Macaca mulatta: one gene and its partners. The protein of the gene in region 1 binds, or shares a complex with, the protein of each later gene. Links are inferred from orthologs where the notes say so. Each region holds a gene or a part of one and is shown in the gene's direction. Other genes may lie near its edges.

Region 1 (6,111 bases):
GGAGCCACGCAGAGCACGTCCATTCTTTCATTCATTCCGGCGATCATCATTCATGCACTGGATGAGACACAAGACAGAGCAATAGGAAAACCAGACAAAACTCCCTGCCCTCATGGAGTGCACATTCTAGAAAGGAATGGACAGCAATGAAATAAGTAAATACACGGCATGGCAGGTGGTGGGAAGTGCTATGAGTAAAACAAAACTGGGAAGCAGGATGGGGTGCTGGGGCTGGGTATTGCATTGTATATAGCACAGCCAGGGAAGGCTTCCCCAAGACCAGGAGAGCTGGGCAAAGTCATAAGGAGTTGAGGGGTGAGCCACGTGAGTATCTGGGGGGCTGGGAGGCTTTGGTTTTCACTCTGAGCATGATGGGAGCACTGGTTTGGAACAGAGGAGTCCCCTGCTCTGACTTGGGGTCTGGCAGGCCCACCTCGCTGTGGGGTGGAGAATGGGTCGTGGGGAGTGAGGTAAGGGCAGAAGGAGAGCCTGGTGAGAGGATCATTGCTGTCATTCTGGGGAGAGACCATGGTGGCTTGCACCATGGCCCAGAGGTAGTTAAAATAATAATTTAAAAAACAAGACATTCAGATTTGAGATATATTTCAAAGGCTGTGTCGATAGGATTTGGGGTGTAAGAGAAAGGTAGAGTCAAATATGATTCTGAGGTTTTGGCTCGAGCTTCTGGAGGTTTGAAGCTGCCATGAACTGAAATGGGAGTTGCTTAGGGGAGATTGAGAGTTTGGTTTTGTGCTTGTGGAGTCTGAGCTGTCCATTAGGCATCAATGATGAGTAAGCAGTTGGGAAAAGTTAAGGGCGGAGGTTGGAGTTGGAAATAAAACTTTGGGCATTATCACCATATAGCTGGTATTTAAAGCCACAAGAGCAGGTGGTCTCATCTAGGGAGGGAGTGATATGGAGAAGAGAAGGGGTGCTGAGGCCCCCAGTGTTAGGAACCAGCCAAGAAGACAGAAAGAGTGAAAATCAGAGAGTTGGGGTGCCCTGGAGGAAATGAGGAAAATGCCCCAAAGAGGAAGGAGGGAACAAATATGACCAATGCCCCTGGCAGAGCAAGCAGGCTGAGGGCTGAGGATTGAGCAACGGGAGGTCACTGGTGACAGTTTCACTGGAGCTGGATGGGGAACTTGAGGGTGAGGGAGGGGATGGGAGGACTTGGGGACAGCAGTACAGGCAATAGACAAGGGGGTCTGCTATAAAGGGGAGCAGATAAATGGGATTGGAGCCAAATGAAGAAGGTGGGTGTCAAGAGAGGGCTTTACCTTTACAATGGAGAATATAGTGCATTGTGCACTGGTGGGGGGAATTGGTCTCTTAGGAAGAGAAGTTCAGTGCCGGGGAGGGAGAATGCAGGATGGCTGGGGGAGGGTGGGGGCGCTTGGCCCCAGCAGAGACCCGGGATACTTGGGAAGTTGCGCTTCCCTGGGCTTCCCTTCCTCTCCTGTCTGCAAGGGGTCAGTGGGCTGAGATTTCAGCACTTAAGCAAAGCATTTGCTCTTGGCCCCAGAGAAACCAGGTTGGCTGTGGTCTCAGGAAGGAAGGAGCTGTCCAGGCTCAGACCTGGGCCTGGGTTTCAGGGAGGGCCCTTGTGGGTCGCTCCTTGACCCTCTCTTTCAGCAAGGAAGTGCTCCTTTCTCTACATGGGCCTCACCTTGGGGAGGACAATGGTGTCTTTGAAGTTGTAGTAACTGAAGTAGAGATCAAAAGGCAATGCAGATAGACTAATAGATTTTGCCTGAAGAGGGGAAGCCCGATCAGGTAATAAAGGGGTAAGAGGAAGGATGTGAAGGACAATTTTTAGGAAACAGATAATGAGTGAATATTTTTTCTGTCTCTTTCCCAAGTTAAACTGAAGCAGGAGAAACTGAAGCTAGCTAGACATAATGAATAAATTCCCAAGCTGGTGAGCTTCCTGAGCTGGTTAGTGAGGACAGCACTAAGGCCAGGCCCTCCTCTCCGGATGTTTAATATGAGACAGGACAATGCCTGCTCAGAGACAGGGGACTGGCTGAATTGGCCCTCAGGATTCTCTTTGCTCTGAGGTTTCTGGAAGAAGGCCAGGGCAGAGGTGCGGTGATGCAGCTGCTGGGAGGACAGAGCTCCGAGTCACGTGACTTGGGCGGCCCTCCCCTTCCTGGTGCCCACAGAAGCCCGACGTCACTAGCCGGGGTGTGTATGGCTCACACGTAGGCCAGGCTGCCCTAGGCTTGGTGTGCTAGGGAGGGGCCCCTACTTACTTGTGGCCTGTCCCCTCGTGAATGTGTCTCATGTCCCCAGTGGGGTTTTTCAGGGAGGGTCATGGTCTCCAGGATGCACAAGGCTTTGTGCTAGAATTGCCTGGAATTACCTAGTTCTGGAAGGCTGGTTGGCCAACTCTGGCCTCTGGCTTTTCCTTTGGGAATTTCCCTTGAAGGTGGGGTTGGTAGACAGATCCAGGCTCACCAGTCCTGTGCCGCTGGGCTTTTGGTGTTTTGCACAAGGCCCACCCACAGATGCCATGCCTGCTCCCCAAGCCTAATGGGCTTTGATGGGGGAAGAGGGGGTGGTCCAGTCTCTCCCGATGAGGAGGAAAGAGCAAGTGTCCTCCTTGGACATTTTCTGGGTAAGAGGAGCAGGCATTGTCCTGTCTCAGCTTGACTCTCAGCCTTCTTTCATCCCTGGCTGCGCGCATGCTCCCAGGCCTGGGGTGAGATGGGGAGTGCTGACTGTGGCTCTGGGCTGTTTTCTGGGGAGAGTGGGTGGGTGGTTATTTTCCCCAGGACCCTGGCAGGGGTGATGGTGGGGGCTGCTGTCGCGTCCTTGGCTGATGTTTCCACAGCTGAGAACCACTCCAGGGCCAAGCCCAGAGCTTATTCTACCCCCTTTTGGTCCTCTCTTCCCCCGTCCCCCGCCACCCCACCCTCTTGGCTCCTCTGCTTAGAGGTGAGCACGGGGAGGAGACCTCCTTGGCCTGAGAGAACTACCTTAGTTCCTGGATTCCAGTGGCCTGTGCAGGGGGGGGACACTCTCTCTCCCAAGCAGCCAGACACACACATAACCTCATTGCCTCCGTTTCCCCATCTGACCAGCACAGGGCCTCCTGTGCCCCAGCAGCGTTCTGAGAGATTGGAGGTTTTTCCTTTTGCTTACCTTGGCTGCCGTATGAGGATGGTTACAGTGTTCCTCCCACCCCCAGCCCAGGGGATATTTGATTCATGAACATTTCCACGGTGTCTCTGCGGGGGACAGTGCCGTGCCAGGCTCAGGGATGCTAGGACGAGTAAGACCCAGGCTTCCACGTGACCCAGGCAGGGAGAGAGACACATAAACAACCATCAGCAAAGAGGCAAAATCCCCAGGCCGCTTGGCGTCTACTCCCTCGAGTGGCTGGGAATGTCCCTGATTTATAAAAAGAAGCCGACGGCTCTCTTTGTTGTCCATGCCTACACCCTTTCACTTTCGTTTCTTCGAGGCACTGCACCAGCCCTTGTCCACAGACCCCACGACAATCGCAGAACTAACCATGCTGAGAGATTTTCTCAGCTGCTCAGAGATCCTCCCAGGGCTTGAAGCTCCTGGAGGGTTACTTGCCCTCAAATTCCCAGAACCCACAGCAGGTGGCTAACGGTAGCAGCAGCAGCAGTCTGTGCACGGTGGTTTCGAGGGCGTGGGAGGGAGGTGAGGGCCCTAGGGCAAGTGTGTGGGGGAAGTGTTGATGGGGGACAAGGCACGAGAACGCTTGGAAACAACTTAGTTTGCACCGTAATTTTTCACTTAGCCTAGGATAGGACCTTTAGAACAATACTCTGAGTGTACCCCTTGGAGTAGCAGTGTGCAAAACACACAGCAAGGGCTTGGGGCCCCCGTGGGGAACCCAAATGTAAGAGTTAGAGACATGCATTCTGGAGTTGCACACGGCTTGTGTTGAAATCCTGACTCTGCCTGTCTAGCTGTGACATGTCGTACAAATCGCTGAGCCTCTCGGTGCCTCAGTGTCTTCCTCTGTAAAATGGGCAGATCATAGGCACTACTTCAGAGTGGCTGGGAGGGTTCAGTGAATTCACGCAGGAGAGCACTTAGAATGGCGCCTGGTGTGTTGTTTATGCTTAATTAATATTAGCCATTACTGAAACTGCTGTAGCGTGAATCCGGCCAGTGTGGAGCCCCTCTCACCCTGCTTTGAAGAGAATGAATTCCCTGACTGCTCGGAAGATCTCTCTTTCTCTCTCTCTACTTTTTACATTTTTATTATTATTTTTTTGAGACAGGGTCTTGCTCTGTTGCCCAGGCTGGAGTGCAGCCTGCAACCTCTGCCTCCCGGGTTCAAGTGATTCTCCTACCTCAGCCTCCTGAGTAGCTGGGATTACAGGTGCCCACACCACGCCTGGCTAATTTTTGTATTTTTAGTAGAGAAAGGGTTTTACCGTGTTGGCCAGGCTGGTCTGGAACTCCTGATCTCAAGTGACCTTGGGAGATCTCTTGCTCCTCATATTACCTCAAGCCTTTTTAAATGTTTTAAGCCGGAGACCAAGCATGGATGTGGGAGTTAGGGGTCTTGATTTAATTCTTGGTTGCTTCAAACTCTCTGTGGGACCTTGAGGTGTTTCTTGCCTTCTCTGGGTCTCAATTTTCACATCTGTATGGTGGGGAGCTTGGATTGGGTAATGTCTGAGGCTAGAACCATGGCCAACTCGGGTTCTGCTGGGGCTGACTTGCCCTGGCCTTCCCCAGCCACCCCGCGTCTGGCTTCTGGAGAAGTCCTGCACTGACCTTGTTCTCCTCCCCAGGTTGTGAAATGTGCTCGCAGGAGGCTTTTCAGGCACAGAGGAGTCAGCTGGTGGAGCTGCTGGTCTCAGGGTCCCTGGAGGGCTTCGAGAGTGTCCTGGACTGGCTGCTGTCCTGGGAGGTCCTCTCCTGGGAAGACTACGAGGGCATCCACCTCCTGGGCCAGCCTCTCTCCCACTTGGCCAGGCGCCTCCTGGACACCGTCTGGAATAAGGGTACTTGGGCCTGTCAGAAACTTGTCGCTGCTGCCCAGGAAGCCCAGGCCGACAGCCAATCCCCCAAGCTGCATGGCTGCTGGGACCCCCACTCGCTCCACCCAGCCCAAGACCTGCAGAGTCACCGGCCAGCCATTGTCAGGAGGCTCCACAGCCATGTGGAGGGCGTGCTGGACCTGGCACGAGAGCGGGGTTTCGTCAGCCAGTACGAATGTGACGAAATCAGGCTGCCAATCTTCACACCGTCCCAGAGGGTGAGGCACTCCTGCATACATCACAGAGTTCCCAGGAAAGGGGTGCTTAGTCACCAAGACTGATTTGTCCTCATGAAGTCAGCCTGTGGGGTAACTTGGTCTGTGGGATTTCCCCTAAAAAGGTAGCCAGGCAGGTAAAATTTGCTCTTGACTCTTGGCAGGCAACATACAACTTTCTTTCCTTCTTTCTTTTTCCCTCCCCTCCCCTCTCCTCCCCTCCCCTCTCCTCCCTTCCCCTCTCCTCCCCTCCCCTCCCCTCTCCTCCCCTCCCCTCCCCTCCCCTCCCTTCCCCTCTCCTCCCCTCCCCTTCCCTCTCCTCCCCTCCCCTCCCCTCCCCTTCCCTCTCCTCCCCTCCCCTCCCCTCCCCTCCCCTCCCCTCTCCTCCCCTCCCCTCCCCTCCCCTCCCCTCCCCTCTCCTCCCCTCCTCTCCCCTCTCCTCCCCTCCTCTCCTCTTCCTTCCCTTCCCTTCTTTTCCTTTTTGAAGTCTCACTCTGTTACCCAGGCTAGAATGCAGTGGCACAATCATAGCTCACTGTAGCCTTGAATTCCTGCACTCATGATCTTCTGGTCTCTGAGTAGCTGGGACTATGGGTGCTGTACCACCATGCACAGCTTTTTTTTTTTTTTTTTTTTCTTTTAGAGATGGGCTGTTGCTATGTTGCCCAGGCTGGTCTCCAGCTCCTGGTTTTAAGCAATCCTCCCGCCTTGGCCTCCCAAACGGTTGGGATTGCAGGCATGAACCGCTTTGCCTGGCCAACATACCACTTCTGCCGAGAGGAAGTGTGTGGTGGCCAGGGGCTCAGATTCTGAAGCCAGAATGGTGCAGGCTCAAGGTCAACCCTGTGTGATCTCAGGCTTCC
Region 2 (5,589 bases), on another chromosome or scaffold:
GTCTTGCTCAGTCGCCCAGGCTGGAGTGCAGTGACGCGATCTCGGCTCACTGCAAGCTCCACCCCCCGGGTTCTCGCCATTCTTCTGCCTCAGCCTCCCGAGTAGCTATGACTACAGGCGCCCGCCACCTCGCCCGGCTAATTTTTTTTGGTATTTTTAGTAGAGACGGGGTTTCACCGTGTTAGCCAGGATGGTCTCGATCTCCTGACCTCGTAATCCGCACGCCTCAGCCTCCTAAAGTGCTGGGATTATAGGTGTGAGCCACCGCGACCGGCCGGCCATAATTTTTTTAAAAGAAAATTTGATTCCTAATCTCGCAGCTAAAGAAAGGACAAAGAAAGAAAATTAATACATGTGTACCAAAAAAAAAAAAAAAAAGGGAGTGTAGAGAAGAGTAACGGGAGAGCAGACACCCATGTTACCACCACCTGCGTTAGCAAATAGAATATGGCAGCCAGGGGCCACAGCTCCTGCTTGGAATCGCAGCACTTTGGGATTTGCAGGAGGATCACTTGAACCCAGGAGTTCAAGACCAGCCTGGGCAACACAGCAAGACCTTGTCTTTACAAATAATAAAAAAAATGGGGCACATGTCATCAGGCCCTCCTGAGTCTGTGTCACAGAAAAAAAGAAAACTAAAGGGAAAAAAAGCGAAGACAGACCAACCAAAAATTAACCAGACGTGGGCATGGTGGCTTATGCCTGCGGTCCCAGCTACTTGGGAGGCTGAAGTGGGAGGATCACTTGAATGCAGGAGGTCAAGGCTACAGTGAGCTGTGATTGCACCACTGCATTCCAGCCTGGGCAACTGAGCGAGACCCCATCGTAAAAAAAAAAAAAAAAAAAAAAAGGCCGGGCGCAGTGGCTCAAGCCTGTAATCCCAGCACTTTGGGAGGCCGAGACGGGCGGATCACGAGGTCAGGAGATCGAGACCATCTTGGCTAACACAGTGAAACCCCGTCTCTACTAAAAAATACAAAAAAATAGCCGGGCGAGGTGGCGGGCGCCTGTAGTCCCAGCGACTTCGGAGGCGGAGGCAGGAGAATGGCGCAAACCCGGGAGGCGGAGCTTGCAATGAGCCGAGATCCGGCCACTGCACTCCAGCCTGGGCGACAGCGCGAGACTCCCTCTCAAAAAAAAAAAAAAAAAAAAAAAGGAAAAGAAATAGAATATTTCCAGCTCTCCAGAAGCCCCCTCCTGTCTCCTTCCCAATTCCAGCTCCTTCCTCTGCCATAGAGGTGACTACTGTCCCGACTTTTATCATTTCCTTGCTATAATTCATAGTTGTACAATTCCATGTTTGCATCTCCAAAAACTTTAATTTTGCCTGGTATTAGAACTTTATATTGATAGGCTCATACAGACTGTATTCTATCACATGGCTTTTTTCATTCAACATTGTTTCGGGGCTAGGCATAGTGGCTCAAGCTTGTAATCCCAGCACTTTGGGAGGCCAAGGTGGAGGGATTGCTTGAGCCAAGGAATTTGAGCCCAGCCTGGGCAACATGATGAAACCCCATCCTATAAAAAAATGCAAAAAAACAAAACCAAACAAACAAACAAAAAAAGCATTGTTTTGGGAGACTCATCCATTTTGTTGTGAGAAGCTATAGTTAATTCATATTTATTCCTGCTTAATAATCCATTATGTTAGACTGAGCCATATCGAATTGCCTTTTTCTGAAACCAAAAAAAAAAAAAATAGTTAAATATCAGCAATTTTGTACTTCAGCTACTAAGAGTGTATCGCAGTTTTAAAATATTAATTCTCCTGTTAATGGACTGTGGGATGCCTCTATTTTGGACTGTTATATATACTTTCTATAAATGTATCTACTGATGTATACATGCATGCATTTTGCTAGGGTAAATTCTTAGGAAGGCCTGGGCACGGTGGCTCACGCCTGTAATCCCAGCACTGTGGGAGGCCAAGGCCAGTGATCACTTGAGTTTGGGAGTTCAAGACCAGCCTGGCCAACATGGCAAAACCCCATCTCTACTAAAAACACAAAAATTAGCTGGGCATGGTAGTGTGTGCCCGTAGTCTGAGCTACTTTAGAGGCTGAGGCACGAGAATTGCTTGAACCCAGGAGGTGGAAGTTGCAGTGAGCCGAGATTGTGCCACTGCACTCCTGCCTGGGTGACAGAGAGAGACTCTGGCTCAAAAAATAAATGAATAAATAAATTCTTAGGAGTATGTTGCTGGGACTTCCATGTAGAATAAAACTGAATTTGGATCCCTGCCTCACCTCACACCATGGTAAAAAAAAAATCAACTGGATTAAAGGCTTCAATGTCGGCCGGGCGCAGTGGCTCACGCCTGTAATCCCAGCACTTTGGGAGGCCGAGGCGGGCGGATCACAAGGTCAGGAGATCGAAACCACAGTGAAACCCCGTCTCTACTAAAAATACAAAAAATTAGCCGGGCGAGGTGGTGGGCGCCTGTAGTCCCAGCTACTCAGGAGACTGAGGCAGGAGAATGGCGTGAACGCGGGAGGCGGAGCTTGCAGTGAGCCGAGATCATGCCACTGCACTCTAGCCTGGGCTACAGAGCGAGACTCCGTCTCAAAAAAAAAAAAAAAAAAAAAGGCTTCAATGTCAAATGCAAAACTTCACAGTTGGAGAAAAGTAATGGAGAGGAGGATTTATTTTAAAAAGATAGCAGACAGCCAGGCCTGGTGGCTCATGCCTGTAATCCCAGATACTTGGGAGGCTGAGGCAGGAGAATATCACTTGAGGCCAAGAGTTTGAGACCAGCCTAGTCAACATAACAAGACTCATCTCTACCAAAAAAAAAAAAAAAAAGAAGAAAGAAAAAGATAATAGACCTGCCCCTTTCTGCCAGCATTTTCTTTCTTTTTTCCTTTCTTTCTTTTTTTTTTTTTTTGAGGTAGAACTTTACTCTTGTCGCCCAGGTTGGAGTGCAGTGGCGTGATCTCGGCTCACTGCAACCTCCGCCTCCTGGATTCAAGTGATTCTCCTGCCTCAGCCTCCCGAGTAACTGGGATTACAGGCATGCGCCACCACACCTGGGTAATTTTGTATTTTTAGCAGACACGGGGTTTCACCATGTTGGTCAGGCTGATCTCAAACTTCTGACCTCAGGTGATCCACCTGCCTCAGCCTCCCAAAGTGTTGAGATTACAGGCACAAGCCACTGTGCAAGGCCATTTTTCCTTTCTGTTTTCTTTCTCTCTTTCTCTCTCTTTCGTCTCGCTCTGTCACCCAGGCTGGAGTGCAGTAGCATGATCTCGGCTCACTACAACCTCTGCCTCCTGGGTTCAAGTGATTATCCTGCCTCAGCCTCCTGAGTAGCTGGCATTACGGGCGTGCGCCACCACGCCCAGCTAATTTTTTGTATTTTCAGTAGAGATGGGGTTTTGCCATGATGGCCAGGCTGGTCTTGAACTCCTGGCCTCAACTGATCTGCCTGCCTCGACTTCCTAAAGTGCCGGGATTACAGGCATGAGCCACCTTGCCTGGCCGCTGCCAGCATTTTCTGACTGGGCCCTCTCCCCCATTTCAGGTGAAGTCAGCACTGTGCTTAAGCTGGACAACACAGTGGTGGGGCAGACGTCTTGGAAGCCATGTGGCCCCAGTGCCTGGGACCAGAGCTTCACTCTGGAGCTGGAGAGGGTGAGCTGCGTTGGAGGACAACAGGGCCCGGAGGAGGAGGCGGCGTTCCATGCCTCTGGCACCCTGAGTGATGGCCCTCTTCCTCTCCCTGCAGGCACGGGAACTGGAGTTGGCTGTGTTCTGGCGGGACCAGCGGGGCCTGTGTGCCCTCAAATTCCTGAAGTTGGAGGATTTCTTGGACAATGAGAGGCATGAGGTGCAGCTGGACATGGAACCCCAGGGCTGCCTGGTGGCCGAGGTACAGCCCACCCCTGATCCTGAGAAAATGCTGCTTCTCCCTCACTCCCCCATTCCCAGTTTCCTAGAAGGGGAAAATCTGTTTTAGGTCTGGCTCTTCCAGAAGGGGAAGATACGATTTAGGTCAGGCTCTTCTAGAAGAGGAAAACACATTTTAGATCCAGCTCTTCTAGAAACAGAGGATATGTGTTAACTCTGCCTTTTCTAGAAGGAGAAGATATGTTTTAGGTCAGCCTCTTCTAGAAGGGGAAGAGATGTTTTAGATCTGCTTTTTTCTAGAAGGGAAAGATGTTTTAGATCAGGCTTTTCTAGAAAGGGAAGATAGGCTTTAGATCATACTCTTCTAGAAAGGGAAGATACGTTTTAGATTTGCCATTTCTGGAAGGGGAAGGCATGTTTTAGGTCAGGCTTTTCTAAAAGGGGGAGATATGTTTTAGATCTACCTCTTCTAGAAGGGGAAGATACATTTTAAATAGATATCTTGTAGAGGGAAAGGTATGTTTTTGATCAGGCTCTTCTAGAAAGGGAAGATAGGCTTTAGATCTGCCTGTTTTAGGCTGGGCGTAGTGGCTCATGCCTGTAATCCCAGCGCTTTGGAAGGCTGAGGCAGGTGGATCACCTGAGGTCAGGGAGACCAGCCTGGCCAACATGGTGAAACCATGTCTCAACTAAAAATACAAAATTAGCTGGGTGTGGTGGCGCATGCCTTTAGTCCCGGCTACTCGGGAGGCTGAGACAGGAGAATCGCTTGAACCCAGGAGGCAGAGGCTGCAGTGAGCTGAAATCCCACCACTGCACTCCAGCCTGGGCAACAGAGTGAGACTCCATCTCAAAAAAATAAAATAAAATAAAAGATCTGTCTGTTCTAGAAGGGGAAGGTACATTTTAGATCAGGCTCTTTTAGAAGCATAAGATATGTTTTAGATCTGGTTTCTCTTAGTACGGAAAGATAGTTTTAGATCAGGCTCTTTTAGAAGTGGCAGGTATGTTTTAGATCAGTGTATTCTAGAAGGGGAAGATACATTTTAGATCTGTCTCTGAACCTTGATAGAAAAGCACACCTTGGCCGGGTGCGGTGGCTCACACCTGTAATCCCAGCACTTTGGGAGGCCAAGGCAGGTGGATCACTTGAGGCCAGGAGTTCCAGGCTAGCCTGGTCAACATGGTGAAACCCCATCTCTATTACAAATACAAAAATTAGCTGGGCATGGTAGTGGGCACCTGTAATCCCAGCTACTCGGGAGGCTGAGGCAGGAGAATTGCTTGAACCCAGGAGACAGAGGTTGCAGTGAGCTGAGATCATGCCATTGCACCCCAGCCTGAGCAACAAGAGTGAGACTTTGTCTCAAAAAAAAAAAAAAAAAAAAAAGAAGAAGAAGAAGAAAAGAACTTCTAATTAGCCACATCAGTGATATAACCTTAGCTGGGATTGGTTTTGTTCTGAGGCAAGATATTTAAAAAAAAAAAAAAGAAGAAGAAGAAGAAGCTGATTTCCAAATTTAGAAATGTTTAAAGAAAAAAGGAAATAAATTATAAAATTTCATCCAGCCGGAAAAGTGATACAAAACCTGGCAACATATCGTGGTGATTGTTACCAGCCACAGTCAAGAGAAAGCGATTCCTTCCACAGCCGTGTGAGGGTGAAGGTCTGAATTGGGGTGGCCTCCCCTTGGCATTGTTGACATCTGGGGCCACATCATCCTCTGTGGTGGGGCT
Region 3 (5,589 bases), on another chromosome or scaffold:
AGCTCGATATAGACTCAACTCCAGAGACATCAAACCATCCTCAAGAGACTAGTGGAAAATGTTACTACCTACTCCTAGAGGATTAGTCAGAGCAAGAGTTTAAGTTGACTATTGCATATGGACCTGAGGAAAGAGCCCTATATTCACATGTACCTGTAAGACTAGAAGGTGCCTGTGTGGCCACTCTTTGTTCTTTTGAGGGTGTGGAAGACAGACATCTTTTCATTAGACTTAGATATTTCTATACTTCATATTTGGGCAGCATTGCTGTCTCCTGCCCCACACCTTTCCCATTACTGTAATCAGAAGTCAAAAAATATTGCAACCTGAGTATTTTTTGGAGTATCCTGCTCTGTGTTGCTGTTTAACATCTGTACAAGTCCAGCTTTTCAGCTTTATTCTTAAAAGTATTTTATTCTTAAACTCTTGTCTTATGGGATATATCTTTCTAGGACTGAGTACTTAAACTTTTCCAAAACAAGGCTTTGGTGATAAATCCCATTTTAAAATGCTGCTAAAAATCTGGTGACCAGATGTGAATCCTGGAGAACTGTAAAACTGTTGCTTTGGAGGAGTGTGATCTCAGATCATAGTTTGCCCTTATGGGGGTATATGTACTGCACCTTCAATAAAAACCCTTCTGACTGTGGTAACTATTAAGTAGTCATTGTTCTATCTTCCCTTCTCCCATTTCCATTTTCCAGAGGTTCAAGCAGTTCTTCTCACTGACATTTTAGTTTTCCTTCAAGAAAAAGACCAGAAGTACATCTTTGCCTCATTGGTAAGCTGAATTGTTATTTTTGTAATAGCATTATAAGCATCTAGGTTAGTTATGGAATGTAAGCACTATATTATTGCTCTCCCCAGCCCTCTTAAAATTAAATGGCTCAGGACAAATTCCTCTGAGTAATTTCCCACACGCCCTCACAATTTTCTGGCATCCCCTCTTCCCCAAAAATTATTATTCTGTTTCATCACAGTCTTCTTTTAGTGTCTTGGACATCTGACTATTTGACCTATGAAGAAACCTGTCACTGGAGTATTTCTCACATGTGAGCCCATAAATGATGCTCATGTATAATATTGCTGACTGGATTCTTTGGGGAACCTGGAAAGATTCATCATGTAGAAAACATGACTGGAACCTTTAGAGCCATAAATTACTATTTCCCTTTTGAAAAATCTTTGTTAAAATCTGAATGAAATGAGATATTTCTCTTTATCCTAAAGCAGCCATTGTTTTTCAAACTGTGTGCTTTTTTAACAGCATCTAGTCTTACCTTAGATTTAAGCTGTCCTTAAGAGTTAGAATATTGTATATGTATCTTTTATTTGCCCTCTTCCCTTTTTCCAGGACCAGAAGTCAACAGTGATCTCTTTAAAGAAACTGATTGTGAGAGAAGTGGCACACGAGGAGAGAGGTTTATTCCTGATCAGCATGGGGATGAAAGATCCAGAGATGGTAGAAGTCCATGCCAGCTCCAAAGAGGAACGAAACAGCTGGATTCAGATCATTCAGGACACAATCAACACCCTGTAAGTTAACCACCAGGCCCCACCCTTCCCAGCCCTCCTGATGTCTCTGTGTGTTTCCATAATAGGCTGTACTGTGACCAGAGTAATCGACATCTTAGGAACTTTTTGTTCTGTCTTGTTTGGGTTGTATTAGGAACAGAGATGAAGATGAAGGAATTCCTAGTGAGAATGAGGAAGAAAAGAAAATGTTGGACACCAAAGCCCGAGAATTAAAAGGTGAGGCATTGGGAGTGGTCCGAGCCCCTTGTCTGGAATGTCTGCAGTTGCAGAAGACTGCTGGTGGATTTTAGAGGATGGGTTTGCCCTCAGTTCTAAAGCTGCCCCAGAAGGCACTTGAAGGCAGTGAAACGAATAGCTGTTAACAAAAGAGAAACCAAGTCCAGGCTGACATGGGTCCTGGTAAAGAATGACTGTAAGGATGTGTCCAATACTGGATCAAGAGAATATTGATTCTCTTAACTCAGGATCAGTGTTCTCAAACCTCATGACATTCTCTGTACTTTGTCACAGATGAATTTGCCAAAATTTGTAGTCACATCTAAAATTAAAACAAGGAGAGAATTTGGGGAAAAGAATTCTCCAGTTAATCTGATTTAATCCTCCCACCAGTCCCTAGCGTTATCACTTATCTGCAGTTCACAAATGAGTTGCGAGGTGAAGTTTTGGGAGAAGGGTATGTATCGATCTATGTTTGACCCCTGTTTATTGAGTGCTGACTGTTTTGTGTAGTCTTGTCAGTGTCCCTACAACACAGGCATTCTAATCCCCGTTGTGCAGATGAGACAGTCGAGGCCCACAAAGGACAAGCTACGCAGGGTTACACGTGTAGTTAATGGTTAAGCCAGAATTCTGTTCCCTGTCTTAGCAAAGCCTGGTGCTCTTTTCTCTTTGCCAGTGGCTTATCGAATGTTTCTAAGTAAAGACTATGCTTTGGGTCAAAATAAGGCTTAGAGTTAAATAAATGTAAGCATCTAAGGAGTTTGGTTAGGTCTTAAAGCCATACAAATGAAAGCATTGAGTCTCACTGAGGGGAAAATTAAAAATATGGACAGATTTAGACCAGAGCCAGAGTTACAGCAGATTTATTGGCCCATGATTAGGATGACAAGGATAAAAATCTTCCTTCTTTAAATTTTGTTAAGTACCTGGCTAGGCATACTGCTAGGTACAACAGATGCAAAGATTCCTTAAAAAGAGCCCTTTCCCTTGAGCAGCTCACACCCTAGCAGGGGAGACATACCTCAACGATGGGCCACACAGTGATTTATTAGACCACAGGCACGATTAACATATGTGGGATCTGCTCATCCTGCGTCTAGTAAGTCTCACAGAGAAGCTGGTGCATGAGTTACATCTGAAAAAAATTATCTCAGCACACAAGAGTAGTTATGTGCAAAGGTGAAAAAGGACTTGACATGTCTGCCAAGGAATGACAGGTTTGGTGTGTTTGGAGGGTCAGGGCTAAGGGATGGGAGCTTAAGCTGGAAAAGCACCAGGTATTAAAAAGGCAACAAGGGACTGATGTAATTTTTTAAAAAAAGGAAAAAAAAAGATTTTTTTTTTAAACATGTTGAAGCTAGTTAGGAGAGTTGCTTGAGGGAATGGGAAGCGACTGGGAGTAGAAAGACCATTTGGAAGACTGTTAGGATAGGTTAAGTGAAAATGAGCTGGAGAGGGAACAGATGTGAGTAGGAAATAAGGTCATTAAAATCTGGTCAGTTGGCCAGGCTTGGTGGCTCACGCCTGTAATCCCAGCACTTTGGGAGGCCGCAGTGGGCAGATCACAAGGGTCAGGAGTTGGAGACCAGCCTGACCAACGTGGCGAAACCCCATCTCTGCTAAAAATACAAAAATTAGCCGGACGTGGTGGTGTGTGCCTGTAATCCCAGCTACTTTGGGAGGCTGAGGCAGGAGAATCGCTTGAACCCGGGTGGCAGAGGTTTCAGTGAGCTGAGATAGTGCCACTGCACTCCACCCTGGGTGACTGAGTGAGACTCTCAAAAAAAAAAAGTCTGGTCAGTTGGTGGTGGGACAGAGTGAGGAGAAAGAATTTCTCACAGGTTTCCAAATCAGGTGACCTGGAAGATGAAGAGTTGTTGACTGAGAAAGAGATTCCACACTAAAGGGAGGAGGTGATGGGCTAGAGAAAAGATTGGTTTCTCACATGCTGAGAACAAAGCATCTCAGTAGAGGTGGCCACTTGGGCCCCATGGTCTGCTGCTAAGAAAGGGAGGACTTTTGATTTTTTTTTTTTAATGAATTATCAGCATATAGAAGGTAATTGAAGCCATGGGGATGAATGAGATCCTCAAGAGGAAAGTGGGTAAGGTAAAGAAGACAGCTCAGACCAGGTGCAGTGGCTCACACCTGTAATCACAGCACTTTGGGAGGCCAAGGCAGGCAGATCACCTGAGGTTGGGAGTTTGAGACCAGCCTGGCCAACATGGTGAAACCCCATCTCTACTAAAAATACAGAATTAGCCAGGGGTGATGGCACATGCCTGTAATCTCAGCTCCTCAGGAGGCTGAGGCAGGAGAATCGCTTAATTGCTTGAACCCAGGAGGTGGAGGTTGCAGTGAGCCGAGAGTGTGCCATTGCACTCCAATCTGGGCAACAAGAGCGAAACTCTGTCTCAAAAAAAAAAAAAGAAGAAGACAGCTCTCAGGATGGAGCTGAGACAGAAGCCAGGAGCCCAGATAAGAGATTCCATTGCAGATGGCAGATCAGTAAAGTGTCCTGAGAAAGAATGGTAGGAAGAGAACCAGTGTCCTAAGTTAAAGAAGGAAACATGTTTTAAAGGAGGAAGTAATCATCAATGCTGAAAAAAACAACCTAAAAGACCTCATTGGATTCAATCGTGAAGTTGAGCTGGGAAACCAGTTGCAGAGTGGACAGAAGCTAGAGAGTAGTGGGCTGAGAAGTAAACAGGGGACAAGGGAGTGGAAGCAAAGTGCAAACTTGTTATGTCACAATTTCCTCGCCAGAAAGATCCAGAATGGTTTTCCAGATAGAAATCACAGAACAGAAACAATATTGCTGTCATGATGAAAAAGAAAGGGCAGTGGGTGGGGTGTCCTGTCTTGTCCCTTTCCATAAATTACCACAAGGTGGTGCTCATGTCTTAGTCATCTCGTAATACTAAACGCCAATCAAATCACAGATCATTTTCTCCATCCTGCAGAACAACTTCAACAGAAGGACCAACAAATCCTACTCTTGTTGGAAGAGAAGGAGATGATTTTCCGGGACATGGCTGAGTGCAGCACCCCCCTCCCAGAGGATTGCTCCCCGACACATAGCCCTAGAGTTCTCTTCCGCTCCAACACAGAAGACGCTCTCAAAGGAGGACCTTTAATGAAAAGTGCAATAAATGAGGGTAATTAACATTCAACATTGCCTCCCTTCATCTCCTCCCAGAGTGGTTTACACTCTAATATTATCTGCCAGTTTTTACTTTTTTACGTTAAAATAAAGCCGCACAAATGCAGAAAATTACCCAAAACAAATACTTCACTATAGTAAATAATCAGGTGAATATCCTTTTAACCACTACCCACATCAAGAAATTAAATGTGGCCAGACACCCTGAAGTGCCTTCGTCCACGTGCCCTGTCCCCATCATACCTCCCTCCCTCCAAAAGGAGCAGTTATTCTGGCCTTTTTTTAAATTAATCATTTATGCCTTTTTTTTTTTTTTTTTTTTTTGGCAGGATCTTGCTGCTCTGTTTCCCAGGCTGGAGTGCAGTGGTGCAATCTCAGCTCACTGCAGCCTCCCCATCCTGGGTTCAAGTGATTCTCCTGCCTCAGCCTTCCAAGTAGCTGGGACTACAGGTGTGCACCACCACACCCAGCTAATTTTTATATTTTTCATAGAGACAGGGTTTCACCATGTTGGCCAAGCTGGTCTCAAACTCTTGACCTCAAGTGATCCACCCACCTTGGCCTCTCAAAGAACTGATAGTATAGGCATGAGCCACCACGCCCGGCCGTTAATCACTTACTTATATATCTTTATGACTTAAGTGCCTACTCCTAAACATTATAGTTTAGTT
Region 4 (5,589 bases), on another chromosome or scaffold:
GCTCGGGAGGCTGAGGCACGAGAATCACTTGATCCTGGGAGGTGGAGATTGCAGTGAGCCGAGATTGTGCAAGACTCTGTCTCAAGAAAAAAAAAAAAATTCAGCCTTTTTAGTACCGATCTACTTTTTATGTTTCCATAACTGCGTAATACAGTAATGAGTGGCTTAAGACATTGTGTCTAGAATATGTGTGGTGAACCTGTTGGACTTGAATGTAATCATTCCCTAATCTTACCACATAAAGATGGAATTAATAACCAGCACCACACCTGTGAGGAGAAATTCTGGAATGCCTCATCTTGCCTCCAGATAAAATATGTTCCTCCTTCCTGTAAGGTAAATGCAGGAATATTGTCAATGAACAAAATCCTTTCACTAGTCGTTCCTGAAAAAGAATTATAGTTTGAAAATCAAAAAATAGACCAGGCGCAGTGGCTCAAGCCTGTAATCCCAGCACTTTGGGAGGCCGAGATGGGCGGATCACAAGGTCAGGAGATCGAGACCATCCTGGCTAACCCGGTGAAACGCCGTCTCTACTAAAAAATACAAAAAAAAAAACTAGCCGGGCGAGGGGGTGGGCGCCTACTGTAGTCCCAGCTACTCGAGAGGCTGAGGCAGGAGAATGGCGTAAACCCGGGAGGCGGAGCTTGCAGTGAGCTGAGATCCGGCCACTGCACTCCAGCCTGGGCGACAGAGTGAGACTCCGTCTCAAAAAGAAAAAAAAAAAAAAAAAGAAAATCAAAAAATACTCCTATTTTAGAACCTACAACGTGGAAGGCTTATAATAAGGTGAAAATGTACTGGTGGATTTAAAACTACAAGATACTTAATTATAGCCATGCACTAAGTTATACTGTATATTTTGTCATGCAAGAATAATATTTTTAAGAAAACTGATACTGACACATGTATCTTTCTAATCCCTACTTTTGCTTTTATTATTATTATTATTATTATTATTTTATTTTTTGTAGAGATGGGGTTTCCCTATGTTGCCCAGGCTGATCTCAAACTCCTGCCTCAGCCTCCCAGAGTGTTAAGATTACAGGTGTGAGCCACAAAGCTTGGCCTGTTTTCTTTTCTCTTGAAATAACCTGAAAAAGGTTATGTCAAGTAGGAATAAGTATGTAAATGTTTAGAATAGATGGCAGGTAGTTAACGTTAGAACAGTAATGTTGGGAGGCTGAATTGGGAGGATCACCTGAGACCAAGAGTTAGAGCCCAGCCTGAGCAACATAGTGAGACCCCATCTCTACAGAAAAATTTTTAAAAATTAGCTGTGCGTGGTGGTGCACACCTTTAGTCCTAGCTACTCGGGAGGCTGAAGTAGGAGGATCGCTTGAGCCCAGGAATTTGAGGTTGCAGTGAGTTACTATGATTGCTCCACTGCATGACAGAGCATGACCCTGTCTCTAAAAAAAGAAAAGTAAAAGAATAGCAATGTTGAAAATGAGGTAATGAGGTGCCCCTCCCCTCAAAAAACGAGTAGTTATTAACTTTTAGCTGTCATCGTGGTACAGCTACCATTTTAAGGGAAGGGTGGCCTTCCCTTAAAAACTTAGAAAAGTCGGGCCGGGTGCAGTGGCTCATGCCTGTAATCCCAGCACTTTGGGAGGCTGAGGTGGGAGAATTATGAGGTCAGGAGATCGAGACCATCTTGGCCAACACGGTGAAACCTTGTCTCCACTAAAAATACAAAAATTAGCTGGGTGTGTTGGTGGGCACCTGGAGTTCCAGCTACTCGGGAGGCTGAGGCAGGAGAATCGCTTGAACCTGGGATGGAGGTGGAGTGCAGTGAGCCGAGATTGCGCCATTGCACTCCAGTCTAGCAACAGAGTGAGACTCCGTCTCAAAACAAAAACAAAAACAAAAACAAAAAAAACAGAAAACTTATAAAAGTCTTGTGAAGATAAGAGTTTTCTTAGGGGTTCTAGATTGTTATGTAACTTTTCACTAATTTCTAGGTATCTGGTGACCCATCTCATGGGGGCAGATCTGAACAACATTGTGAAATGTCAGAAGCTTACAGATGACCATGTTCAGTTCCTTATCTACCAAATTCTCCGAGGTCTAAAGGTACAGATAATATAAGTAATAATTTTAAAAAAATAATTCTGCCTTTCTCCCCTCCTTTTAGGGCTTAAACAAGTAAACAACTTTTCTTACGGAAAATTCAAACACATAAAATCACAAGTAAAGGTCATAGTACAATAAACTGCCATGTTCACTCAGTGACAACAGTTACCGACATATGGCCAATCATGTTTCTTTTGTATTTCCCAAGCCCTGGATTATTTTAAAGCAAGTCTAGACATTATATAATACCACCCATAGATACTTCAGTATGCACATCTGAAAGATAAGGACTCTTCATTCTTACATCTAAACAATAATTTATTGATGTGATCTAATATCTGGTCAGTGTAATGTTGAGATTTTCAAAAAATCCTCAAGAAAGACTAATTTATTTGTTGGAGGGGCAGGTAAACAGTGTTTTAAAATTAAACCATCTTTGATATTTAGCTGCTTTGAGTCCTTATTGAGCTCTAGAGTACCAACCAGAAAATAGATAAAAAGCTCAACTGAGTGGAGTCAATGGCTGTGGAAATTATAGTTATGGTAAATGTACACAATACTGATAGTTACTTACGCTGATTTCTAATCTTACTGTTAACACTAGCAGTTCTTACTGATTCATGAAAATGTGCAGCAAATATGTTATATAATGTGACAATAGAAGGTTGGAGGTAACTGACTTTTTTTCTTTTTTGCAGTATATACATTCAGCCGACATAATTCACAGGGTATGTATTATGACTTTGATTACATTATTTTGGGGAAGTGGGGTGAGAGTGGAAGAATGGGATTTAGCCAAGATCCTAATCTAAACTTACTTTAGCCATTGAAATGTTGATTGATTGCAACTTTACTCTAGGTTTAGGCTGATTAAAGAAAGAAGTTGTGTAGTTTTGTTCTATGTAAAGCTAACTTGGACTAGACATTGACTGTAGGATGGAGATTATGTTTTGATAGCTGGATGAAGTCTTTTATGTCTGGATCCTCATTATTACCTGTAGGGGGAAAATTGATCATGCATCATGAAGTTGATCCTGTCTTCCCTGTATTTGCTTCCTAGGACCTAAAACCTAGTAATCTAGCTGTGAATGAAGACTGTGAGCTGAAGGTAAAATGAAGAGACAGTATTCATTGTTTGCTTTACTTTGAGATTGTATGTTTGACTAAGCAGGCAAACTTTCATAGGGAGTAGATTTATGAGCCGTGACTATCCGAAATTCATATTATTTTTATTACCAGACTTTGAAATGTAAACCATTTCTGAGTAAGCTAAGTGACATTGAAAGTGGCATCACTTGTTTTTATTTTAACATAAAGTTAAATTATAAATTTAATATATTCATAATAAAGGAAGATAATAGTCAAATATCAAGTAAGTGGTCCTAAAGAGGTGATAACTACATTAAATACATTTCTAAGAGGAGAAATGACAGAAACCCACTCACTCAAAATAATTCAAATAAAAGATAAGTGAATTAATTTTTTCTAAAGAGCAAGCAGCTCTAGAACTTATTTTGTTCCATTTCATTTTTTTTAACTTAAAAAAAAAAAAATTTCCATACATTAGAACGCACCATTTTCATTTTGGCAAAATTATGTATCCACTTAACTATCACATTTATGATAAAGAACATTTCTTTTTTTTTTCTTTTTTTTTTTTTTGAGATGCAGTCTCGCTCTGTTGCGGTCTAGAGTGCAGTGGTGAGATCTTGGCTCACTGCACCCTCTGCCTCCCGGGTTCAAGCAATTCTCCTACCTCAGCCTCCTGAGTAGTTGGGATTACAGGTGCATGCCATCACGCCTGGCTAATTTTTGTATTTTTAGTGGAGATGGTATTTCACCATGTTGGCTAGGATGGTGTCGATCTCCTGACCTCGTGATCCACCTGCCTCGGCCTCTGAGAGTGCTGGGATTACAGGTGTGAGCCACTGCTCCCAGCGAAGAACATTTGGATTACTTTCAAAAGTTTATGGCCAGGCGCAGTGGTTCATGCATGTAATCCCAGCACTTTGGGAGGCCGAGGTGGGTGGATCATGAGGTCAGGAGATAGAGACCATCTTGGCCAACACGGTGAAACCTCATCTCCGCTAAAAATATAAAAATTTAGCTTGGCGTGGTGGCAGGCACCTGGAGTCACAGCTACTCAGGAGGCTGAGGCAGGAGAATGGCATAGACCCAGGAAGGCAGAGCTTGCAGTGAGCCGAAATTGCGCCACTGCACCCCAGCCTGGGTGACAGAGTGAGACTCCTGTCTCAAAAAAAAAAAAAAAGAAAAGAAAAAGAAAAAGTTTATTGTGTCCCTTCCTAGTCTAGTCAATCCCTATCCCTCCACCCCTAATTCTGACTCCACGCAACTATGCATCTGCTTCTAACACTATAGATTAGGTTTATCTTTTCTGGAGTTTCATGTAAATGGAATCATATAGTGTGTATTTTTGTGTGTCTGACCTTTGCTTTGTGTAATGATTCAGTATTGTGTGTGTCAGTGGTTTCTTCCTTTTTATTGGTAATAGTATTTTGTTTTATGAACATATCAGAATTTTTAAATCTGTCCACCTGCTGATGGACATTTGCTTGAGTTTGAGGCTATGTAAAGCAACTGTAAACATTTATGTGCAAACCTTTGTGTGGACATAAGTTCTCATTGCACTTGATTAAATACCTAGGTTTTTGTTTTGCTTTTTGTAATTTCAGTTTAAGTTCTTGCTGTATATTTCCCATACATTCTAAGCATGGACCAGGAAATCTCTTTATGAAAGTGCTATTTTGTTCTCCTTTTTAATAAGGTGGCAGAAGTTTGTTTGTTTGTTTGTTTGTTTGTTTGTTTCCCCTGTCTCTCAGTCTTAGCAGTTTGTCTGTTCCTCTTCTGCCCTTTAGATTCTGGATTTTGGACTGGCTCGGCACACAGATGATGAAATGACAGGCTACGTGGCCACTAGGTGGTACAGGGCTCCTGAGATCATGCTGAACTGGATGCATTACAACCAGACAGGTATTACTTGCCTTGGTTATTTAGGGCCTTATTTAATTCCATGTTGGATGCATTTGGGATTCTCAGAAGTAGAGATGGTGGGAGTGGGAAGAAATATCTTTTCTTCCCTCAGTGATCCTTTTAAAGCCTACAAGTAAAAATATTTCACTTCCTCAGATGGGGAAGTGGGGTTTTATACACAGCCTTTAAATCTTGTGATTTAGCAATTGGGTTTTTATTTATTTAGATTTTAATATATTCTCTGAGTACTTATACCTAAAGACAATGAATCCATAATTTTAACCCCTCAATGTTACTTAGAAGAATCTACCATTCTGCTAATACGAAACTTACCCCTTTTTAAACAGCTTATTTCTCTTAAGTATGTTTTGACTTACCACACCTTTGAATAGCCCTTTAGTCAGGTGATCTTAGTAAGCTATTTATTTCTGTAAAAATGACTATGATTGTTGAGCCTCAGATGTCTTAAATAGTAATTTGAATATTTCACCCCTAGTTACGGTTTCATTTGTTGCCATTGTT
Region 5 (6,182 bases), on another chromosome or scaffold:
TGTCACTATAGCAAGCCGGCAAGAGACCTTTGTCTCTGATGGTCCTTGATCGTACTTCTTGAGCTGCAGCAATGCAGCTGTGCATCCCAGTCTGGCCCCTCACCCTGTCCTCATGTGTGGCCCTTTTTACATCTCCAACCCATCGCCTCTGCTGTTCCTTTCCAGCGATGCTCTTCTTGCCTCTCTGCCTGGCAAGCTCCTACTGGTCCTTAAAGTTCCAGTCTCAAAATCACCTCCTCTGAGAGGCCTTCCCTGACCGCACCCAGATGGAGATGCCTGCATCACCCAGGCACCCTACTGGGACTTTTGCACATGCATCTATTTATAGCACTCACATGGAGTTTTGTGATTCCTGGGCTGTTTATCGGGCTCCTGACTAATCTACAAACTGCTTGTTTGCAAGGGCCCGTCTGAGTCATCTGGCTGCCAAGGAGGTTGGCACGGGACTGGAGTCGCTTCACCCTGGTCTGTGGATGCTTTCCTCCTTCCTTTTTTCATTCCTCAAATATTTATCAGGCACCTACTATGTACCTGGTTCTGGGCTGTGTATTGGGAACACAGCAGGGAATGAGGCGCAGATGGTCTGGAGGGAGAGCTGTGTTAAAAACTGAGTCAGTGACAAAGGCATCAGCAGCATGAGTGTTGTGCCTCAGTTTGGGGACCTGGGAAGGGAAGGTCCCCAAACTGATGGGAAGGCTTCTTAGGCGTGTTCATTTAGGAGGCAGTCTGAGGGATGAGAGGGAACCAGCCCCAGGAGGCTTGAGTGGAGGAATGTTCTGGGTGGAAGCAGCAAGGGTGAAGCTCCTGCAGCAGGACCATCACTGGCACATTTGAGGGGCAACACTAAGACTCTTGAACATCCCAAGGAGCAGAGTGCACAAGGCAGAGTGTCGGGGAGCAGAAGTCAAGGCTGTTGGCCGGTGCCTGAATCCAGAAAACTTGCTGGACCAGCCTTTCAGTTCTGGTAGAAAGGAAACTGCTACTGGATGCCCATTTTATGGATGGATAAGCGCAGGTCACCAGGGATGATACGGCCAGGATGGAGGCAGCCAACAGTGTTTTTGAACTCACATTTCCCGGGCACTTAGTGAGGGCCAGGCCCTAGGCCAGGTGTTCCCACTCCTGAACTCATGAAATGCTTTCAGAGACCTTCTTGTCCCCATGGGATAGGTAAACTGAGGCACAGAGCTGCTCAGTGACTTCTTTAAGGACATCCAGCTAGTAAGTGGAGGAATTGGTATTGGAACTCACACCTGTCTGAGCCCCAGACTCATGATTTTCCATCCCACTGCCTGTGAACAGGAGACGCAGGAAGAGAATGGTGATGGCTGCAAGGCTTCCCTCCTATCTCATGTGGCCCTCCCCACTCTGTGTGCATGGGGCCCTGCATCACCCCCACTTTACACCTGGGCAAGCAGAGGTCAGGCCCGGCCTCAAGCGTTTCTAGCAGGTGGTGGAATCTGCTTCCCTCACGTGAGGTCCCTGACAGGGTACACACTCATGTCTGCCTGGAGGCCAGGGGCTGACCCCTTGACCTTTGCCTGGTACCTTCTGCCTTCACTAGCACTGACTTTACATCCAGAGTCATCTGATCCCAGCGCCAGATTGGTCAGCGGTTCCTGAAATCCCCCAAGGTTCCGTGTGGGAGCAAAGAGAGGACTGGTCCATCCAGCCATTATACAGATGGGCAGACTGAGATCTTAGGAGGAGAGGAGAGAACCAAGGTCCAGGAGAGAGCCAGGATGGGGCCTCCGGGCTCGTGGGATAAAATGCACCGCATGCTGCCTCACTCCCTCTGAGACAGTTTCCCCCGGTGTAGAACAGGGGCAGCAACAACCAGCCACGACAACTCCTCGTGTTGCCTCGTCACCGGGCATCGCTGAGCTCACCACCAACCCCGCGCCCTGGCCGGGCGCCTGGAGCGCGGGCGCGGGCGGACGTTTGCTGGCGCCGGGCCCTCAGTGCGTGTCAGCGAGCAGCGCCGTCAGACGGCTGTCACCGCCGCCCGCTCACAGATGCGTAGACTGAGGCTCAGGTGTCACGACCTGACCAAGGCTAGTTCCGCTACAAAGTTGCCGACTCGGATCTGAACCCGGGTCAAATTTACAGAAAAGGAAACTGAAGCCCAGAGACACCAGGGAGCTTGCTGGGGTGAGGCAGCTGCAGGTTCAGAGAGCCAGGAGGCAGCCCAGCAGCGCACTTTTAACCCCCGCCCGCCTCGCCAGGCCCAGCCGTGCCACCTTTAGGGATCTCGGGTTTTTTCCAGACGACGCACCCGGGAGAACGCGCCCACTCATCGCACCCGCCGGGGCTGCGCGTCTGGGGGTGCTGGGCGGAGCCTGGCGCTTGCAAGGAGCAGCGGGCTCAGTGGGTCCCGGGAGTGGGTGGGGCTTGCGTGTTGACGGGCAGCGCGAGGGGCGCGGCTTTAGTCCAGGTGGGCGGAGCCTGACCGGACTTGGGTTTTTCGGGCGGCTGGCAGACTTGACAGAGAGCGGGAGGGGCCCGGATCCTGGGCCCACGGAGGGTGGGGCGTGTAATTGACAGGCAGGGACAGACCGGCGTCTGATAGGCAGGGGACGGGCCTTGGAAACGAAAGGGCCAATCGGACACGCAGGGGCGGGGCCTGAGTCAGCGCCGTTCGGCCGGGGTCCCCCCGGCGCTGCCCAGTCTGGCTCCGGCGCCGCCCGTCGCGGACTCGTCCTTGCAGTAGTCGCCGCCGCCGCCTCTGCTCCTCCGCCTGGCCCGGGCCGTCTGCCCGCAGCCATGAGCGTGCTCGGCCCCGGTGGAGCCCGCAGTCCTCTAGATTAGTCCCCACCGCCGTCCAGGACCCGCTTGCAGCATGGAGTCGCCCGCCTCAAGCCAGCCCGCCAGCATGCCCCAGTCCAAAGGTAGGCGATCCCGGCCGGAACCTCGGCCTGACCCCGCGCCCAATCTGGGGCCGGGCTGCAAACCCCGACCGAATTTCTTTGGTCCCACCCCATCCTGTTCTCGACCTGGCAGCGGCGTCCGGTCCCGGAACCCCTTCCTGTTCGGGGCCCCGGGACCGGCCGCAGCCTGGGTCCTCACCTGGACCCCCAGGTTAGGCCTTGGGACTGCATTCAGGCCCGAGATCACCCAGGCTGGACCCAGACTAGGACTTTGTTCTGCTCACCCCATCCAAGTCAGGAGCCTCACTCTGACCTCATTTGGGCCTTATGGCTGTAGCCTGGACAGGAACTCTCTCAGTCTTCTCCCTCAGAGGGACCCAGGTGAGATTCACACTGGCCTCCATCTGCGTCCTTGGGCAGCACCCACTCCCATTTCCAACTTGGGGTCCCAGGGCTGTATCCAGGCTGGGATTTAACTTAAGTCTCCATCTGGGCCCCAGAGTGCTTCTGTTGTTTCGGACCTCACTGTACCCGCTATGCGGGTGCTCTGGCTACACCCCAGCTCGGAACTCCCCGTCCTTCTCTCCTCCAGCTCTTCTTATCCTTATAGGCCCTATGTTGCCCCTTCCCTGGCTGGCCTGCACCCTGTCCTGCAGCCCTGTGCTCCCAGGAACCTCCCTTGTCCTCCCACCCCTCCCTAAGGTACAGCCCCCTCTCTACTGGCTTCTCTCTGTCTTGAGTTGCAAGCTTCTCCCTGCACTTGGGGTTCTCACCCCATCTTATTCCTCTCCTGGCTGCCTGGGATCTGGGCCAACCGCCAGGCCAGGGTGCTGGCTGTGCAAGGGATTTGCTCTTCTCCAAGTAGCTGGCCTTCCTGGAAATTTTTGTGAGGTGGCAGCAGCAGCAGGATTTGTCATGCGGAGGGGGAAGGATGAGACTCGGAGGGCAAAAGGGGAATTTTTTTTTCAGGAAGAGGAAAGGATGTTTTTGGTGCGTCGGAGTTTCAGTAGGCTGGGTTGTGTGAGAGATTTCCAAACCGGACGTAGCCGTAATGAATGGGCTGCCTCCTGCCTAGCTGAACCTGCAGCTGCTTCACCCCAGCAAGCTCCCTGGTGTCTCTGGGCCTCAGTTTCCTTTTCTGTAAATTGGAAGTAATCACACCTGCTTCTGTGGACGCGGGAGTGTGGCGTGGGGTGGTGAATACAAAAGAGCTCTGAGGTGTTCACTCAGCATAGCGCCTGGCGGAGAGCCGGCGCTCACCAGGGGACACTGGCTGCACACATCTCGCTATTGTTTCCATTCTTCTTGCTGGAAAGGCCTCCACTGCTGGAACTGCAGCCGCAGAGTGAGCAGGAGGAAGCATCTAGCAGCGGGCACCTAGTGGGCCCCTCATCGGGGATCAGCCGCTCTTCTGCTCTGGAGGGCGCAGGCCAGTGGGAGCCCTGTGGGGGCTTGGGGAGGGCACGGGCTCTTCCTGGCCCCTGCTGCTGGCTGCTGTGGTGGCTGGAGCCGGGTGGGCAGGATAATTATGCCTTACATAAGTGGGAGGCCGGATCCCTGACCATTGCCCAACCACTGTGAGTAACTCAGGAGGCACTTGAGGGGGGAGGTGTCTGGGGAGGGACTTGCACTGCCCAGACCTCGTGGAGCTTGGGAACCAGGAAATCAGACACTTCTCCACTCTGGAGAGCCTGGGGAAGGGTAGGAAGCCCTGTTTGTTTTGGAGGCTTTTTAGCTCTCCAGGCAGAGAATGCCTGATCAAAATAAAAGTTCCAGTTGCAGAGTTGTGAAGGGAGAGGGGTCATAGATGTGGTAAGAACGCTGTGAGAGGGCCAAGATGAACTTCTAGATAGGGACCCAGGTCGCAGATGAAATTGAGGGAGCTGGATGGAGGGTCAGGGACCTCCCTCAGGCCCAGCGACCCTGTAGTCTCTTTGGGATCTGGGGAAGGATGTGGTGACAGAGCCGCAATGCCCTTCACCAAAAACCCTATGAGCTTCTTCTTTTTTTCCATGTGCCATGCATTTTCTCATTTATTCCTCATAGCCTCATTTATAGATAAGGAAACTGAGGCGTTAAGTGCCTTGCCTGAGGCCACGCAGCTGTGACAGGCGGAGCTAGGGTTCCCCCTAGGACTGCATCCCCACAGTGGCCTTCCCCGTGCTCCCTTATGTGCCCCTCCCATGCTGGATGCCTGAGCTGAGCTGGTGGGGTGCCCCCACCCCTGGCCTTGCTCAGAGCATGTGCAGTGGGCCTGTCCTCATGGCCATGTCAGACCTAGAGGACAGACTGAGGCAGAGGTGCTGCTGCTCTTGTGCACAGTGCTTTACACTGGGCCTGTTGCATACTTGCTGCAAAATCCCACTCATTTGACAGATGCAGAACTGAGCTTGGATGGAGTAGCCGGACTGCTCCCACAGGTGGAGATCCTCACCCCGTGCCTGCCCCATCCTGGGCACTGGGCCTCCCAGCACTGAGCCCTTCTCCACCTTCTCAAAGGAATTTGAACAAAGCAGGGAGTGGCTGGCGCTTGACCTTACTGGAGCTTTACCTTTGAGCTTCCTGCCTTGCAGCAGGTACCCTGCCCTATCCTTCCTGCCATGGGCCTGGGGAGTTTTCCGTGAGCGTGTGAGGCCCTCAGGCCCACAGCTCTGTTGGTTTTCCCCTGGCCTTCTTGCCCACATGGCCATCTCTGGCTGGGATCAGAGGCCAAGTGGCCGGCGCTGGGGCCAGTGGGTGGGGGCATGTGTGCAAGCCACATTTGTCCTTGGAGGGTACCATGTGTGTCCTGTTGTCATTCAGAACGTGGGTTCTGCCCCTTCTGCCCTAAGAGTGCCACCTGTGGGGGCACTTCATGGCTAATCTTCACACAGCTTGGACTGTGGCTGTAGGACTCCTGACTGCCCAGTGGGGTCACTGAGGTTTCATGGAGCACTGTCGTATCCTAGCCCTGCCTATTGTGGCCATCCCCCATCCCCCGGCTGTCGGAAAGACTGGAGGTGGCACCTCGGGGACTTCCCCCACCCCTCTTGTGACGCACAGGAAACTCTCTGTCAGCCAACCCATGGCCCAGGGCCCAAAGGGAGCAAAGTTCTCAGTTGGCCTGTGTGAGGAGAAGGCCGGGGCAGCGGAGGCTTCCGGCGGTGAGTCAGCGGGCACTGAGTGCTGACTCACCTGCTGGGCATGCCAGCCGGCTGCCTACAGCTTAAAGGGGCGATGCCTGCTGGCCTGGTGGGTGGGGAGGGGGTTACGTGTCCTGCAGGTGGCACCTAGCCCTGAGCTGGAGCACTGGAGGTGGCCCCTTCCTGCGCCTCG

Evidence for each region.
Region 2: NOD2 (region 1) and PKN1 share a complex: the UniProt entries of both Homo sapiens proteins name them as parts of the signaling complex. The link is inferred for Macaca mulatta from reciprocal best matches to the Homo sapiens genes NOD2 and PKN1.
Region 3: NOD2 (region 1) and AKAP13 share a complex: the UniProt entries of both Homo sapiens proteins name them as parts of the signaling complex. The link is inferred for Macaca mulatta from reciprocal best matches to the Homo sapiens genes NOD2 and AKAP13.
Region 4: NOD2 (region 1) and MAPK14 share a complex: the UniProt entries of both Homo sapiens proteins name them as parts of the signaling complex. The link is inferred for Macaca mulatta from reciprocal best matches to the Homo sapiens genes NOD2 and MAPK14.
Region 5: NOD2 (region 1) and MAP2K3 share a complex: the UniProt entries of both Homo sapiens proteins name them as parts of the signaling complex. The link is inferred for Macaca mulatta from reciprocal best matches to the Homo sapiens genes NOD2 and MAP2K3.

The regions. Positions count from the first base shown.
Region 1 is NC_133425.1:46,147,950-46,154,060, forward strand, and holds the start of NOD2 (nucleotide-binding oligomerization domain-containing protein 2), read left to right. Parts: upstream 1-2,249; 5' UTR 2,250-2,535; coding exon 2,536-2,620; intron 2,621-3,147; exon of another isoform or gene 3,148-3,281; intron 3,282-4,784; coding exon 4,785-5,251; intron 5,252-6,111. UniProt on the Homo sapiens protein: Pattern recognition receptor (PRR) that detects bacterial peptidoglycan fragments and other danger signals and plays an important role in gastrointestinal immunity.
Region 2 is NC_133424.1:15,065,377-15,070,965, forward strand, and holds part of PKN1 (serine/threonine-protein kinase N1), read left to right. Parts: intron 1-3,526; coding exon 3,527-3,636; intron 3,637-3,730; coding exon 3,731-3,874; intron 3,875-5,589. UniProt on the Homo sapiens protein: PKC-related serine/threonine-protein kinase involved in various processes such as regulation of the intermediate filaments of the actin cytoskeleton, cell migration, tumor cell invasion and transcription regulation.
Region 3 is NC_133412.1:75,522,990-75,528,578, forward strand, and holds part of AKAP13 (A-kinase anchor protein 13), read left to right. Parts: intron 1-704; coding exon 705-781; intron 782-1,354; coding exon 1,355-1,536; intron 1,537-1,669; coding exon 1,670-1,752; intron 1,753-4,718; coding exon 4,719-4,913; intron 4,914-5,589. UniProt on the Homo sapiens protein: Scaffold protein that plays an important role in assembling signaling complexes downstream of several types of G protein-coupled receptors.
Region 4 is NC_133409.1:146,180,304-146,185,892, reverse strand, and holds part of MAPK14 (mitogen-activated protein kinase 14), read left to right. Parts: intron 1-1,964; coding exon 1,965-2,076; intron 2,077-2,774; coding exon 2,775-2,804; intron 2,805-3,136; coding exon 3,137-3,184; intron 3,185-4,952; coding exon 4,953-5,067; intron 5,068-5,589. UniProt on the Homo sapiens protein: Serine/threonine kinase which acts as an essential component of the MAP kinase signal transduction pathway.
Region 5 is NC_133421.1:22,178,479-22,184,660, forward strand, and holds the start of MAP2K3 (dual specificity mitogen-activated protein kinase kinase 3), read left to right. Parts: upstream 1-2,718; 5' UTR 2,719-2,839; coding exon 2,840-2,888; intron 2,889-6,182. UniProt on the Homo sapiens protein: Dual specificity kinase. Is activated by cytokines and environmental stress in vivo. Catalyzes the concomitant phosphorylation of a threonine and a tyrosine residue in the MAP kinase p38.